Linked DNA regions of Cricetulus griseus. The protein of the gene in region 1 interacts with the protein of each later gene in a pairwise test. Links are inferred from orthologs where the notes say so. Each region holds a gene or a part of one and is shown on either strand. Other genes may lie near its edges. The genes, in order: Znf446 and Znf496.

Region 1 (8,105 bases):
GTAGGAGAGAGATGCAGCCAGATGCTGGGCCGCTGCTGCACCGGGAGCCCCGGTGGGGGCCTAGCACATGCGGGGAGGCACGTGGAGGATGGGGCAGGGAAGACAGGAAAGAGAGAGGGCCATTGAATCTCACCCTGGGACACCTCCGAGCCGTACTTCTCCAGCATCACGCCCCAGCACAGCTCTTTTTGTGATGAGTCCAACTGGCACCACTCCTGCTGCAAGGACGCAACCAGTCACTGCCTTTCCCACCCAGCCTCACATTCCCTACCCACCACCCAGTGGGTAGCAGGTTACCTCATCTGCAGCAGCCTAAGGACCAAGTCAGCACTGGCACTTGTGAGGACTGGATCAGCCTTCATCTGTCCACTGTCTTCTCAGTGGCCAGAAGGACTGAAACTGTGGGTGGGTTTTCGGCAGAGACACCATGGCTGTCCCCATCCTTTGTCTGGTAACTAAACCGTACAGAATGTGCTTGGAAGGGAGGGCAGTAAGAGGCCAGGAGACTACCTGGGATTCAGCTACCTTTTCCAAGACTGATTAACAAAATGGAAACTTGGGGCCTGGAGAGATGGTTCAGAGGTTAAGAGCACTGACTGCTCTTCCAGAGGTCCTGAGTTCAATTCCCAGCAACCACATGGTGGCTCACAGTCATCCGTTATGAGAGAAACTTCCTCAGCATGAAATTTGTTTTTTCTTTTTACATTTATTGGAGTGTGTATGTGTGAGATTGGGTCTGTGTAGGCCAGGCTGGCTCAGACTCACTATGGAGCTGAGGATGACTTTAAACTTCTGATTTTCCTGTCTCTACCTCCTGAGTTCTGGGATTACAGAACTCCCGGTTTATGCAGTGCTGGGAACAGAAGCTAGGACCTCGTGCATGCTAGGCAGGCACTCTACCAACTGAGCTACATCTCCAACACTTTTATTTATTTCATTTTATTTTTGAGAAAGAGGATTAAGGAGGCAGGCACGGTGGGGCATACCTTCGATCCCAGTACTCAGAGGCAGAGGCAGGTATAGCTGTGTGAGTTCAAGGCCAGCCTGGGCTACATGGCTAGTTCATTCTAGGACAGTCAGGGCTATGTAGAGAGATGCTGTCTCAAAACAAAAAGGTTGGGAGTGACGCTAAGGTTAAGAATGAGGGATTTCAGGACTGTGATGAAGTGGTGATAGAGAAAGCTCCAGAGCTTTGTGGCAGCTCGTTTAGGAAGATCTGAAGAGGGTAAGTTTGGTGGCAGGACAGAAGCCTTCCTACCTATTCTGGCCTTCCCAAGGGAAGAATTCCCCGTCTAAAAGATCTACCTTTTTTATTATTATTATTCAAGACAGGGTTTCCCTGTAGCTTTGTAGCTTTGTAGACCAGGCTGGCCTCGAACTCACAGAGATCCGCCTGTCTCTGCCTCCCGAGTGCTGGGGGATTAAAGGCATGCACCAACACAGCCCGGCAAGGTCTACCTTCTTCCTTGCTCTAAGATCTGCCATACAGGTCTTTGGCAGGTTGGGAAAAAGTAACCCCGAAGGACAAGCCAAGGACAATCTGGAAAAGAGGGAATTGGAAGCCACAGACAGCTAAATCTAGAGGCGATGCTGACCAGAAGTGAGGGCACCAGAGAGACATCCTAGAGGGGTTTCTTAACCTTGAAGCACACCTTAACTAGACCCTCTATTGAGGTAGGGGGCTCCCAAGTGGAGGGGCCCAGGGACAGAAAGACCCTGAAGAGGATAGGATCCCTACCCCTCCACGTCAACTATGCACGCTCAGGTAGCAGGGGCTTTAAACTAAGGTTCCAGGTCACTGTCCTTTGACAAGGGCAGTAGAAGGGACTTGAGGCATACTCAGGGAGAGTGTCTTGATTTGCTCTCAGGGATGCAGGAACCCTGCCGTGGCAGTCTCCTCTCCGCCCGCACACATAACAGCTGGCCCATGACCTCAAGGTATAACAAGCCTTTCCAGTAACTAGCCTCTCTGGGGTGAGGAAGCCATGGCCACCAGCTCTAGCCACTCTGGACCAGGCCTAAATCTTTTCCAATGAGAGACCTACCAGTCTAGTCTTCAGCCCTTAGAACCTGCTGGAAGGGAAGTTATTTACTACTCAGGAATAGTAAAAACAAAAAGCACAAACACACGAGTCACTGGCAGAGGACCCTACCAAACCACAGGGTGGGAATACAACCAACAGAGACACCCCATATACACCCATGGCCTGCTTTTCCTGCTGTAGGCTGCTTACCTGGATCCTTCCTGGGTGGGAGGATGTGGAGGCTGCTTCCTGGTGTCCAAGATGTCCCTCAGGGGCCTGGGCTGGAAGGAGGGGGCTTGGGGATACTGAGAAAGACAAGGAGACGGGAAGGAGCATCAAGCTGTGGTGACTGCATTGGCCTTGGCTTGCCTCTGCCATGTGGCATGGTGCGAGGTCAGTCTTGTCTTGTTGCTTCATAGGAATCCACCTTTGTAATCTCTCCAGGGTCCCTCTCCCAGCTGGGGACATGCAGACTTATTTCAGGAGTCCCAGCCCCCGACACAACCCCTCCTAGGATACCACATCCCCCACCCCACACCCACACACAGAGATTTGAAATTCTGATGTTGTCACCCCTCACCTACCCGTCTCCTGTCCATCGGCGCTGGCTTCCTCCTTCACAACCAAGTGGATCTGGGTAGATCTGTCTAGGCTGGAACCCTGTGGTACTTCCTCCGAAGGGCCTGCCTCGGAGGACTCCGTTGCTACTGAGACGCTGCGGCTCCCGGAAGATTCCTTTGTCCGCTGGACTGTAAGCAGCGTCTTTGGTTTCAGGATGTGGGCTGTGATCTGAAGAGAAGCCTGTCACGGGGGGCTCTACCTTCAGTCTGTCCTCCTGAGCAGCTAATGCCATTTACACTCACCCAGCCCAGCAGCTGCCCAGGATCAAGCTGCAGCCCCTCAACCAGGGCTGCAGCCTCCTCAGGGCTTCCTGGTCGCTGCCCTCGCACCCAGGCCTGGATCTCAGGGGGCAACACGCCAAGGAACTGCTCCAAAACCAGCAACTCTATCATCTGCTCTTTGGAGCATGACTCAGGTTGCAGCCATTGGTGACACAAGTCGCGAAGGCAGGACAGGGCCTCTCGGGGCCCCTCTACCTCCTCATAGCAGAAACCCCGGAATCTGAGTCGCGCAGCCTCAGGCTCCTCAATGGTGGTCTCGGAGTCCCCGAGGGAGAGGTGTGGGGGACCTAGAGGAGCTGGCATTCTTGTTTTGAAGGGTCTTTTTGGAGCTGTCAGGAGGGACCTACAGGAAAGGAGGAACCAGAGTGTCATCTAAGGCCAAAAGCACACACCAGACCCCTCCTAGAAGCCAGGAAAGAGAACCCCAAGGCCAGGAGCGCTTCGAGGAAGGAAACGGGAGGTGCAGGTCCCAACCTGGAGGGTGCATGGATGATAAATGCCTGGGTGGAAGGTGTCCAAGGGCCTTCTAGGAAACTTCCATGGCTGGCCCAAACCTTTGGGACTACCAACAGAGGACTACCGTGGCTCCCCCAGCCGACAAAGGATCAGGGGGGCACAGGTAGGACCATCCTTCAGGGCGACCTGGAGCCCTGGAGGCTTCAGTCAGAAAGCAGATCGTGTTGGTCTATCTGAAGAGTTGGCTCTGGGGTCTGGGTACATCACCCGGGACAGTGCTGAAAGCCTGGGCCAACTCCCAGGGGCCTATATGAGCTTGGTGACACTGCTCACCGACAAAACCGTGGGTGCCTCACACTACGCCTAGGAAACGCCCAAGCAGAAGCCAAAGCAGACAGCCGTGCATCACGTGGACATGTAAACTGGAACCTGTGTCCCAGTCCTTAAGAGGTTCTGGGTTGAAACCGGCTCTCCTGGGGCACCTGTAGAGTTGGGGGTGGGGTGGGTGTCAGTTTCTGACACAGCAAAGGAGAGGGAGGGTCTTTCAGGAGGAAGGGGACCCCCGGAGTTCTGGGTTCGAAGGCTGGGGGCAGTGGGGCGCTCCTCGAGCTCGGGGGGGGGGGGAGCCACGAGAAGCTGGGCCCGCCCAGTCGAGCAGCTCGCTCACCTCTGACGCCTCCTGGCGCCCCAGGAGCTCGGGGCACTTCCGGGAAGGGAGGCTACACCGCTCGCCCCACCGCCACTCACTACCGGCCTGGCCAATCCTGCACCGGCCCCACAGGCACGGCCCCCTCCGCGCGGACTACATCTCCCGTGAGCCTCAGCAAGGGGGAGCGCGCGTTTCTCGGGCCCCTCGCGCGCCAGCGGCTTCGTTCCGTTCCTCTCCTTTGGAGCCCGCGGTGTCGCAGAGTTCCGGGGGTGGTGGTGGTGGACGGGGCTCCCTCTCCTGACTTGGCGACCCGTTCTTCCTTGGCACCCCAGCCGAAGGACTCACCCACTGCGGACCCGGGCTGCGGGACCGTAGCCTCCTTGCGCATGTGTGCAGCGCGCCTGGCTCCTATTGGCTGGTGAGGCGTTCTGCCCAATTAGAGCCGGGCGCTCAGCTACGAGAAGGGAGCATCGCTCCGTGTGTCTCCTAGGTAACAGCGAGCGCACCTCTGCGGTTGCCAAAGCAACGCTGTAAGCGTGGCCTTGCGGCCGGCCGAGAAGACCTAGGTGCGAGTTCCAGAGGATCCCGGTGGGAGGCAGCGTTGGGCGAGCACACCCAGTATGGCCTTTGTTATAGTCCGTTAAGTAAATAGGCCCATGGGTGGGCGAGCAGGCGTTCAGAGGAGGTGACCATGTGGTCACCCCCTCTTTAGATAGCGGTACTACTGCAAATGGAGATGGAGGGTTCTGTCTGAGATTATGAGACACACTCAACTTTTAATTTGGAGGCTGCAGTTAGACAAGGTGGCCCTTACTCATTTTTTTTTCCCTCTCCAAAGTCTTTTGGGAAAAAGGCTTTTTAAAAATAAAGTTAATGGGGTGAGGTGAGGGGCTGGAGAGATGGCTCAGAGGTTAACAACATTAGCTGCTCTTCCAGAGGACCAGAGTTCAATTCCCAGCACCCACATGGCAGCTCACAACTGTCTGTAACTCCAGTTCTGGGGATCTGATGCCTTCACACCAACGCACATTTAAAAACAAAGTTAAATTGTTAAAAAAATAAAGTTAATGGCTTTTATTTGTTTGTTTGGGGGGGGTAGGGTCTCAAGTCCCCAGGTGGCCTGGAGCTCACCGAGAGATCCTGCAGCCTCTGCCTCCTGATTGCTGAGATTAAAGGTCTGAACCACCACACACAGCAAGTAAGGGCTATTAAATTTATGTGCACATGAGGTTAATTTTGTTTCCACATACCAAGAGTCTGAACCATGATAGAATCATTCAGTCCTGAAGCGGATCTGTCTATTCTGTTTTGTTTTGTTTGTTTGTTTGTTTTTTTTTCTGATTCCTGAGAACCCCCTCCTCGGCTGCCAGCAGCTAGCAGTGAGCAGCAGTTCTCCACATCTGAAACTCTTGAGCAGTTGTGCGGGTAGAGTTTGTCAACTGGGTTTACCAGCTGAACTATCTTGGGAGATGAGGTCTTTCATAGATTCTGTGGACAAAGCTCTCATACCCACCCAGTGGGGAGAGGCTGGGCTTTAAGGGACTTCCCAGGCAGCTGTCCTCTTGGAAGCAGCTGTCCCTGGAAGCATCTCTGTTCTAGGGCTCCCGTCCAAGGTTAGCTGGCTCCCAAGCCTTCTCTGTGCTTCAGGGTAGACCTGATTGAATCATGTGGTATACTTGGGCTTTAAATTTATAGCCGAATGTTTACCAGGAAAACAACCATTGAGCTAGCCCCAACTCCCTTAATTACTATGGTTATATTGGGTTGGCCAATGCAATCATTAAAAAATAGTTTTTTTTCTTTTCTTTCTTTTTTTTTTTTGAGATAGGATCTAAGTTCCCCAAGTTGGCCTCTCAGCCATCTTAAAGCAGAGGGTCTATGGCAACCTACTGACCTTGCCCTTAGAAATTAATGCATAGAAATTATACAGCAAATAGTTAGGTCTGTGATACTGGGGTATTGACATTTTCTCTTGGGGTGGGGTAGGGGGGTCACCAGTCCTTCTGCCCAACTGTGTGTGATCTTTGAAACGCTGAATTTTAGACAGGGCAGTGGTAGGGCAAACCTTTAATCCCAGCACTCAGGAGGCAGTGGCAATAGATCTCTGAGTTCAAAGCCAGCCTGGTCTACAGAGTGAGTTCCAGGACAGAGCTGTTACACAGAGAAACCTTGTCTCAGAAACAAACAAGCTGAATTTTAAGGTGAAAAAACTGATTAGAGTTGGGATTATTCAGTCACCCATGTTCTTGTAACCTCAATTGTTATGGTAACCTTTGAGGGGAATCTTGCCTGGGGGGACTTGGCAGATTCCATGGCAGGTGAGGTTGACCAAGGCAGATAGACAAACATGCCTGGCAAACGGAGCTTAAGTGAAGAGTTTTATTAGAAAGGGGAGGGAAGGGGAAGGAAAGAGAAAAGAGGTAAAGAGAGAGATACAGAGACAGAGAGGACAGAAGAGACGAGGGAGACAGGAAAAATTCTGTCTCTGTCTGCCCCAGGGGAACCAGGGAAAGAGAGAGCAGAAGAAAGTAGACAGAGGTCTTTCTTTTAAAGGAGTCCTTTGCACCTACGTGCAAACCACGGAATCATGGAACCCTGGGCTGACCAAGATACTGCCTGAGTGCATTCTGCCAGGTGACAGGGGCAGGCCAGCATAGTGCCTGACTCCTTACACCAATAAACTTATTTGCCAAGTGGGATTTAGGATCTTTCATTTGTGTTTTCTCTTTCCCTAATTGGGGAGTGTAGGTGTATGTCTGCTCAGGAAAGTCACAAGACAAACCCCTGTGTCAATTCAGTATTTGGCTTCCCTTGAATCAAGGATGACTCATCTACTTCTGGGTTCCAAGTGCCACTGTCATGTTTCCCCCATTGTTACCTGTAGACTTAAGTGAGCGAAGAGCTAAGTGTATGGTTGTGTTTTCATTTTGTTTTTTCTTTCCTTTTCTCTTTAATTTCCCGGCCTTGGCTGTCCTGGAACTTTGTAGACCAGGTTGTCCTCAAACTCACAGAGATCTACCTGCCTCTGCCTCCTCAGTGCTGGGATTAAAGATGTTCGACACCACCTCTTTGGGGATTTTCTTTTTTTTGAAACAGGGTTTCTACATCCTAGTTTGGTCTCTAACAGGCCATCCTCCAGTTTCAGTTTTTCCCAGTGTTTCGAATATTTTCAGGTGCTTCCAAACTTAGCCAGTTTAACATTTTGACTTAGAAAGCCCCAGGGCATTTTTACAGTCTGCCTGTTAAGAGGGGCCCACCAACATAGATACCATATTTGCTGGGGACCACCAGACACATAGGGGAACACAGAACAGTTCTGGGTATTGGAAGAGGCAGATGCAAGGAGGATAGAACTAATGGGCAGTTAGGGGCACAGCAGAGGAAGCTGGTGAGGATGAGAAGATGGTATTGACCCCCGTCTGAGGGGCCGGGAAGGCTGAGGACATCGGCTTCAGGTTCCTGTGACTATCGAGGAAACTCATTGGCTCAACAGATGTCTTTGGTTCTGAGCCCTCCTGGCATTACACAGCTCCATCCAAGAGCTGAGTAGGTCTCCCGGGTATCAGGAGACCTATCTCAGAGAACCTGCCCTTCCAGGGTCTTGGGCAGCCGGGTCCTGCAACAACACCCCCTCCTTGCATGAACTAATGATGTTGAATGGACAGAGGTGCCTGATTCCATTGGCAAATCAGTGGGATGGTGTCTTAACTACAGAGGATAGCTGCAAGATGGGTTGGGTTTTTTTTTTTTTTTTTTTTTTTTTTTTTTTTTTTTTTTTTTTTTGAAACAAGGTCTCACTATGTAGCTACAACTGCTCTGAATCTTGCAGTGTAGACCTGCCTGTGTCTGTCTCTTGAGTGCTGGGATTAAAGGTATCAGCACATTTGACCTTTTTTCTTTTTTTTCACACTGTCTCAGTAGCCCTATACAGGCCTCAAACTTGCTGTGCAGTGAAGTCTGGCTTTTTAATTCCAGATCCTTCAGTCTCAGCCTCCCAAGTGCTAGGGTTACAGGTAGACACTGCCAAACCTGCAAGGGTCTTGAGGTGATGGCCCTGGAGTTCCCACAGGGCTG
Region 2 (6,324 bases), on another chromosome or scaffold:
GCAGGACATTCAGCCATTAGTGCTAAGCTCCCCATCATGAGTGGATTCTAGAGCATGGTCAGTCAGCCTGGAAGTGGGAGACCCCTCTCTACCAATACCTTGTCTTTTTCTTTTCTGCATCTTTTCATTCACTTGTGTTCAACTCTTAAAACTCTTTTCTGGCCTTTAATCCCATCACTTGGGAGGCAGAGGCAGGTGGAACTCTGTGAGTTCGAGACCAACCTGGCCTACAGAGTAAGATACAGGACAGCTAAATCTACACAGAGAAACCCTGTCTCAAAAACAAAATTTAAAAAAACTTTTTCTTGCTAATAACACAATACCTTAGCCTTAGTCATAGTTGAAGTCTCTTGCTAAAATAAAACACCATGACCAGAAGAAGCAACTTAGAGAGGAAAGGGTTTATTTCAACTTACACGGGGTCACACTTTATCACTAAGGGAAGCAAGAGCAGGAATCTGGAGGCAGGAACTTAAGCAGAGGCTATAGAAAAATGCTTCCTACTGGCGTGCTCCTATGGCTTGTTCAGCCTGCTTTCTTACACAACTCAGAACCGAATGCCTAGGGTTGACACCACCCTAAGTGGGCTGAGCCCTCCCGAATCAGTCATCAGTCAAGAAAATGCGCCACAGACTTTCCCATATCCCAGTCATATGGAGATATTTTCTAAATTAAGATAGCCTCTTCCCACATGACTAGCTTATTTCAAAGTGAAGTAAAATTAACCAACACAATTGACCCTTGTCAACGTGATATACAAAACACATCATATTAAGTCATAAACTTTCCTTTCTTATTTGTCCCCAAGATCTTGTATTGTAATTACTATCACAATATAAAACATTTCAACTTTTTGGTTTTTTGAGACAGGGTTTCTCTGTGTAACAGCTCTGATTGTCCTAGAACTCTCTTTGTAGACCAGGCTGGCCTTGAACTCACATAGATTCACCTGCCTCTGCCCGAGTGCTGGGCTCAAAGGCGTGTGCCACTATGCCCAGCTCAAAACATTGCAACTTTTAAAAGTTCCACAGTCTTTAAAATTCAAACACTTAAAAGTTTGGTCTTTTTTCCAGGACACGCCTTTAGTTCCAGCACTCAGGAGGCAGAGGCAGGCTGATCTCTGAGTTTAAGTCCAACCTGCTCTATAGAGTAAGTTCCAGGACAGCCAGGGCTACATAGTGAGACCCTATCTCAAAAAAACCAAACCAAACAAACAAAAATGTTCAGTCTTCTTAAAATGTCCAAAGTCTTTTAAAGTACAAAGTCTTGCTAGGCAGTGATGGTACATACCTTTAATCCCAGCCAGAGCTACACAGAGAAACTCTGTCTTGAAACAACCCCCCCCCCCAAAAAAAAAAGGTACAGCTTCTCAACCGTGGGCTCTTGTAAAATGAAAAATAAGTTATAGGTTTTCTTAGTGCAAGACAGAAAAACCAGGGCACATTCAATTCCAAACCAAAGTCCAACGCTGTAAAACTCAATGTTTGATGTCTGGGACTTATTACCTTCCAGACTTAGGCAGCTCTACTTTCTGTCTCTGCTGTTCATAACCCATACACAGCTGCATACCTTTTCTTAACATGCTGACAACTGATTTGAGATGACTGCCCCCAATACAGATGTGTCACACCAGCACACAGATAGCACATATGTAGACCAGACATACTGTGTACAAGTATGGTATAAGCAAAAGATATATTCACTCTTAGAGTAGCCTAGGCATTCAGAAAAGTATTGGCCCTCTTTGTTGTGGGTTAGGGTTTATATGGGAGTCGAGCTGTGTGGGAGAAAGGAAAAGGGCCTATGGAGGTGCAGCAGCTGTCTGTAAGCTATTTACCTGTGTGGAACAAAAGAGAAGCCACTTGGCTTAAGAATAATTTTGTTCTGGTTCTTTACCCACACACTACACATATGTGTATATGTACACATGCCTGTGGGTCCCGATGGAGACCAGAAGAGGACATTAGAGTTCCAGGTTGTAAACTGCCTGACCTTGGTGCTTGGAACCAAAGCAGGTCCTCTGGAATAGCAGCAAGCATTCTTAACTGCTAAGCCTTCTCTAGCCTTCATTTTTCAAGGGCAAGGTTCTACATAGACGTCAACTTGCCTTTGGCATTTGTAGTCCACTGTAGTAGCACTTTTTCTTTCACTGAAAGCTAATAGTAATTAATAAAAGAATGTTGTCATTAACAAGAGCTCAATAGCATCTTCTACCTGTCTAGTCTGAGGTCTCGAAAGTGTTTCACGACTGGAGTTGCCCCACCAGCCACCTGGAAAGCAGAACAGCTGTGGTCATTTCAGTCTTATAGATATGCTGCACGGGCTTAGAAAAGCTGCCTGGCTAGAATGCGACCTCTCAGCTGGAAAACCCAGAGGAGAGATGAGCTTTAAAGCCCAGCTTCTAGCTCTGTCAAACTTAGGTTGGGAACCAGTGAGGGTCAAGTTCTACTCCTACCCTTCTTCCTTGGGCATGTCCCTGTGCCTGTGAGAGTGTACAGCATAAGTAATGCAGCACTCGTTAATGTCTAGGAGCAGAGGGGGCTGTGCACACCACATCCCTAACATGGTCCCTGAACCTCCAGGGTCCTTGGCATGGTGCCTAGTTAAGTAAGTAATATAAATGGTGTGTCAAAGGTTTACACAGGTAAGTGCCAGTTCTTAGAATTTTAAGTCCCAGTGGCTCAGGAAGGAATGCTTTGAAAGGAAAGGATTAGGGAAAAGCAGCAGGAAGGCCAGAAAGAGATCCAGTTGTTACACCAGCAGCCTATGCAGGACAACCAAACCCTCCAGAGTTACTAAGGAATGCTACAACCCCAGGGTATCTGGACCCCCACTTAAGCCTTTCTGAGTAGGTTTTCTAAGAGCTGGGGTAGGAAGTCATCTGGACAATTCCACTGACCATACTGGTTTCTTGTAACAGGAGGTGGTGGTGACCCACCACCCCTAAAGAGCAACCTGGACCAGGAGGTGACCATTGAGATCGTGCTGTCCAGTTCTGGGGATGAGGACTCCCAACATAGCCCATACTGCACCGAGGAGCTGGGGAGCCCTGCAGAAAAGCCTCATAGTCTCCCAACCCACAGGAGCAGCACTGAGGTTGGGGGTGAGGTACAGAGCTCACAGAAGTCTTATGTGTGTCCGAACTGTGGAAAGATCTTCCGCTGGAGAGTCAACTTCATCCGGCACCTGCGCAGCCGCAGGGAGCAGAAACCACACAAATGCTCAGTGTGTGGAGAGCTATTCAGTGACAGTGAGGACCTGGATGAACACCTGGAGACCCATGAGGCCCAGAAGCCCTACAGGTGCACTGTGTGTGGAAAGAGCTTCCGCCTCAACTCACACCTGCTCTCCCACCGACGGATCCACTTGCAGACAGACAAACAGCAACCCGTGCAGAAGAGTGAGGAGGATGCGTTGGAAACAGAGGGCGCAGATGCCCATGCCCTGCTGGAGAAGAGCAAGGCCAAGCTGGGCTTCCAGTGTGGGAACTGCGGGAAGGGTTTCCAGCGACACGACCATTTGGTGAGACACCGTAGCCACTGTCACCTGAAGAATGAGGCCCGTCCACTCCAGTGTCGGTACTGTGTCAAAACTTTTCGGCAGAATTATGATCTCCTCCGCCACGAGCGCCTGCACATGAAGCGTCGCTCCAAGCAGGCTCTGAACTCATACTGATCAGGGTGTGGCCCCACAAGCTAGTCCCTGCCCCAGCACCAAACCCAAACCACCTGCCCTTTGCTCTCAGGTAGTGTCCAACTTCTGGTGCCATGCCTCTTCCTCTCCAGATAGAAAGTAGCCACCTGAGCATTCCCTCTACTGTGCCCAAACCCAGGGAGGTGAGGTAACTCCAGCCTCAAGATCTGCATCTTGGAGCCCTCCAGCCACTTGCTCCAGCCCTCAGAGGGACTGGGCTGCCCCTAATCCATCGTTTGGAGAGGCGGGGTGTGTATAGTGGGGAGCTTGCCTAAAGTACTGACCCTGGTCCTGTCCTCAGAAGTCAACCTGAGATCACTGTGTCCAGAATGCCCCACAGATCTACAGATGGCCAGGAGGGCCTCTAGGATCTGTGGGGAATTGTCATTAGACCCTATTAGGCTAAGCTCATATGGGGATCAGGAGCTCACATTTTAAAAGTGTGCGCACCTATCCCAAAATATCTTCTTTGTGCCACAAAGATCCTTTATAAATGTGGGATGGAAACTGCCTGTCACTACTCTGATTCCTACCCATTCTGTCTGAGAATTGAGAGTTTGGCCCCTCAAGGCTCCTTTGCCAGGTGAGCCAAACCCTGGGACAGAAGCTTCTGTGAAGCCATGTCCTTCAAGGGTATCAACTCCAAGGCAGTTTGTTTAGCTTCCTAGCACTGTTATAACTCATACTAAACATAGGCTCTTCTAATAGCAGCAGGTGGCATTGACACGGTTATGGAAACTGCAAGGCCGAGGTCTGGTGTCAACAGGATTGGTTCTTTCTGAGGCTAGAAGAGGGAATCATCCTGGGTCTGGTGGTCACTAACACTTGTCTGTAGCCCTGTGCTTGTACAAATGTCTCTCTATCTTTGCCTTCATCTCCACTGTGTCAGTCTCCAAACTTACTTTTGTACAAGGATCCCAGTTTTTGGGTTGGGGCTCATCCTGTCTCCTGCAGCAGAACCCCACCTACATCTGGAGTGGCCATTTCCAAATAAAGTCACATCTCGGGTACTGGGAGTAAGGACTTCAACACTGGGGTTTGAGTGGACATAGCCAAACTCCAGATAATTCCGTGGTGCTGTTGTTATTCCTGCCCCAGATGAACCAATTCGAACTTGAGGTAGCGTGCTTTCGTTCCTTTGAATGCTGGATTCAATCCTAGTTGTCTGCTTTCAGAACTACAGCCATCTGCAAGGAGGAATCCTTACCCGTGGCCTTTAAGTTCAGAGCCTGTGATTCTGGGAGTGGTTGTTCATAGGAAACCTCAAGCAATCAAAAATGTGGTCTTACTGCCCTGGCCCACTGGTGTTGGGCTCAGCCATGAGGGTGTTGGCCTCAGTGTGACTATGACTGAACCTGAGAACTGCAGCCAGGCTGGTTCTGTAGGCTGTACCAGCTCTCAGCTGTCAGGAAGCCTGGGAAAATGAATTCAAGGCCTCTGGTGCTCTCTCCTGATTTTCACATCAAGAAGTTTATTTCAGACCCAATCAGAGAATTACAAGACTTTCTTTTTCTGCTCAGTGCATTACCCAGAGATAGTAAATGCAATAAAAACCATTTGTTCACATCTTGAACAAGAAATAAACTGTCAAAGGTCCTAGTTTCTAAATAGTTCTCTTCCATCCTTGTGTCTGGAAAAGGGAGAAGCTGGGTCTTTATGGTCAAGGGAGGGAAGACTTTCACATGGAGGCCAGTGTCTCTGTATTCACCCTGTCTACCCCTGCTCTCTTGCCTGAGGCTCCACTCTTACCTAAAAGGGGAGCATAGTGCTATTCATTTGTGTATTTGACAATCAGCTGATAAAAGTACAGGGCTTGTTAGAGGAGGTATCCCAAGTATACAGCAAATAGTGCCAGGGAGCCCTAGTGCCTGGTCCAAAGCCCACCAGGCCATCGCCATAACTGGAAGGTTACTTTCACCTATCTTAGAAGCCCAGGGATGCAGCTTGATCCCAGGGTTTTTCCTCAGGAGTAAATAGGAGTTACCTGTGAGGAACAGAGGCAAACCCCCCACTAAACATCCTGTCCTTACAGGACTGGATTGGTCCTTGTCTCCCTCTGGTTGCTGATGTCTATAGCCTCAGCTAAGAAGAGCCAACTCACTCACTCCCCTAAGTCTTCTCATGGTAGCCCTCAGAAGACTGTAGGTTGAGATCCTACATCTAAGTAGCCTCTTTCCATGCTCCCCGATTCCTTGGCTTCCCACAGTTGGCGCAGGTACATTATAAAAACTCATCGAATTGAGATTTGTGTTAGATTTCATTAAAAATCGTATGAAGTTCATGGCAACATATGTTTGTGGTCCCAGCAACTCATGAGTTGGAAGCAATCACCTACACAAATCGGGGAGACCATGTCTCAAACAAGTTTTTAAATGGTGGATTTAGCTTAATGGTAAAAACTGCTGCCTGATGTACTAGGCACTTACCTCAGTCCCCAGAACCACAAAATAGGATTTGAAGCATAGCCGTAGTGGTGAGTGATGGGTAATTGGCTTTTAGGAGTCCTTATGAGAAGGAAAGTGACTGTTTCTGGGGGTTACGTTCCCAATCAACACAGCAGAGGTTCTACTCAAACTCAGTTCTGCACTTTATCTCCCCAACTCACCCTAGTTCAGAAAGAGGTGACAACAG

What was found.
Region 2: the proteins of Znf446 (region 1) and Znf496 interact in binary tests that used the Homo sapiens proteins (3 or more experiments, as listed by UniProt). The two-hybrid records come from large-scale screens. The link is inferred for Cricetulus griseus from reciprocal best matches to the Homo sapiens genes ZNF446 and ZNF496.

Annotation. Positions count from the first base shown.
Region 1 is NC_048602.1:25,553,902-25,562,006, reverse strand, and holds the start of Znf446 (zinc finger protein 446), read right to left. Parts: upstream 4,368-8,105; 5' UTR 4,050-4,367; intron 3,865-4,049; exon of another isoform or gene 3,716-3,864; intron 3,709-3,715; exon of another isoform or gene 3,401-3,708; intron 3,270-3,400; 5' UTR 3,230-3,269; coding exon 2,888-3,229; intron 2,814-2,887; coding exon 2,609-2,813; intron 2,330-2,608; coding exon 2,235-2,329; intron 219-2,234; coding exon 134-218; intron 1-133. UniProt on the Homo sapiens protein: May be involved in transcriptional regulation.
Region 2 is NC_048600.1:73,542,346-73,548,669, reverse strand, and holds the end of Znf496 (zinc finger protein 496), read left to right. Parts: intron 1-2,920; coding exon 2,921-3,675; 3' UTR 3,676-5,301; downstream 5,302-6,324. UniProt on the Homo sapiens protein: DNA-binding transcription factor that can both act as an activator and a repressor.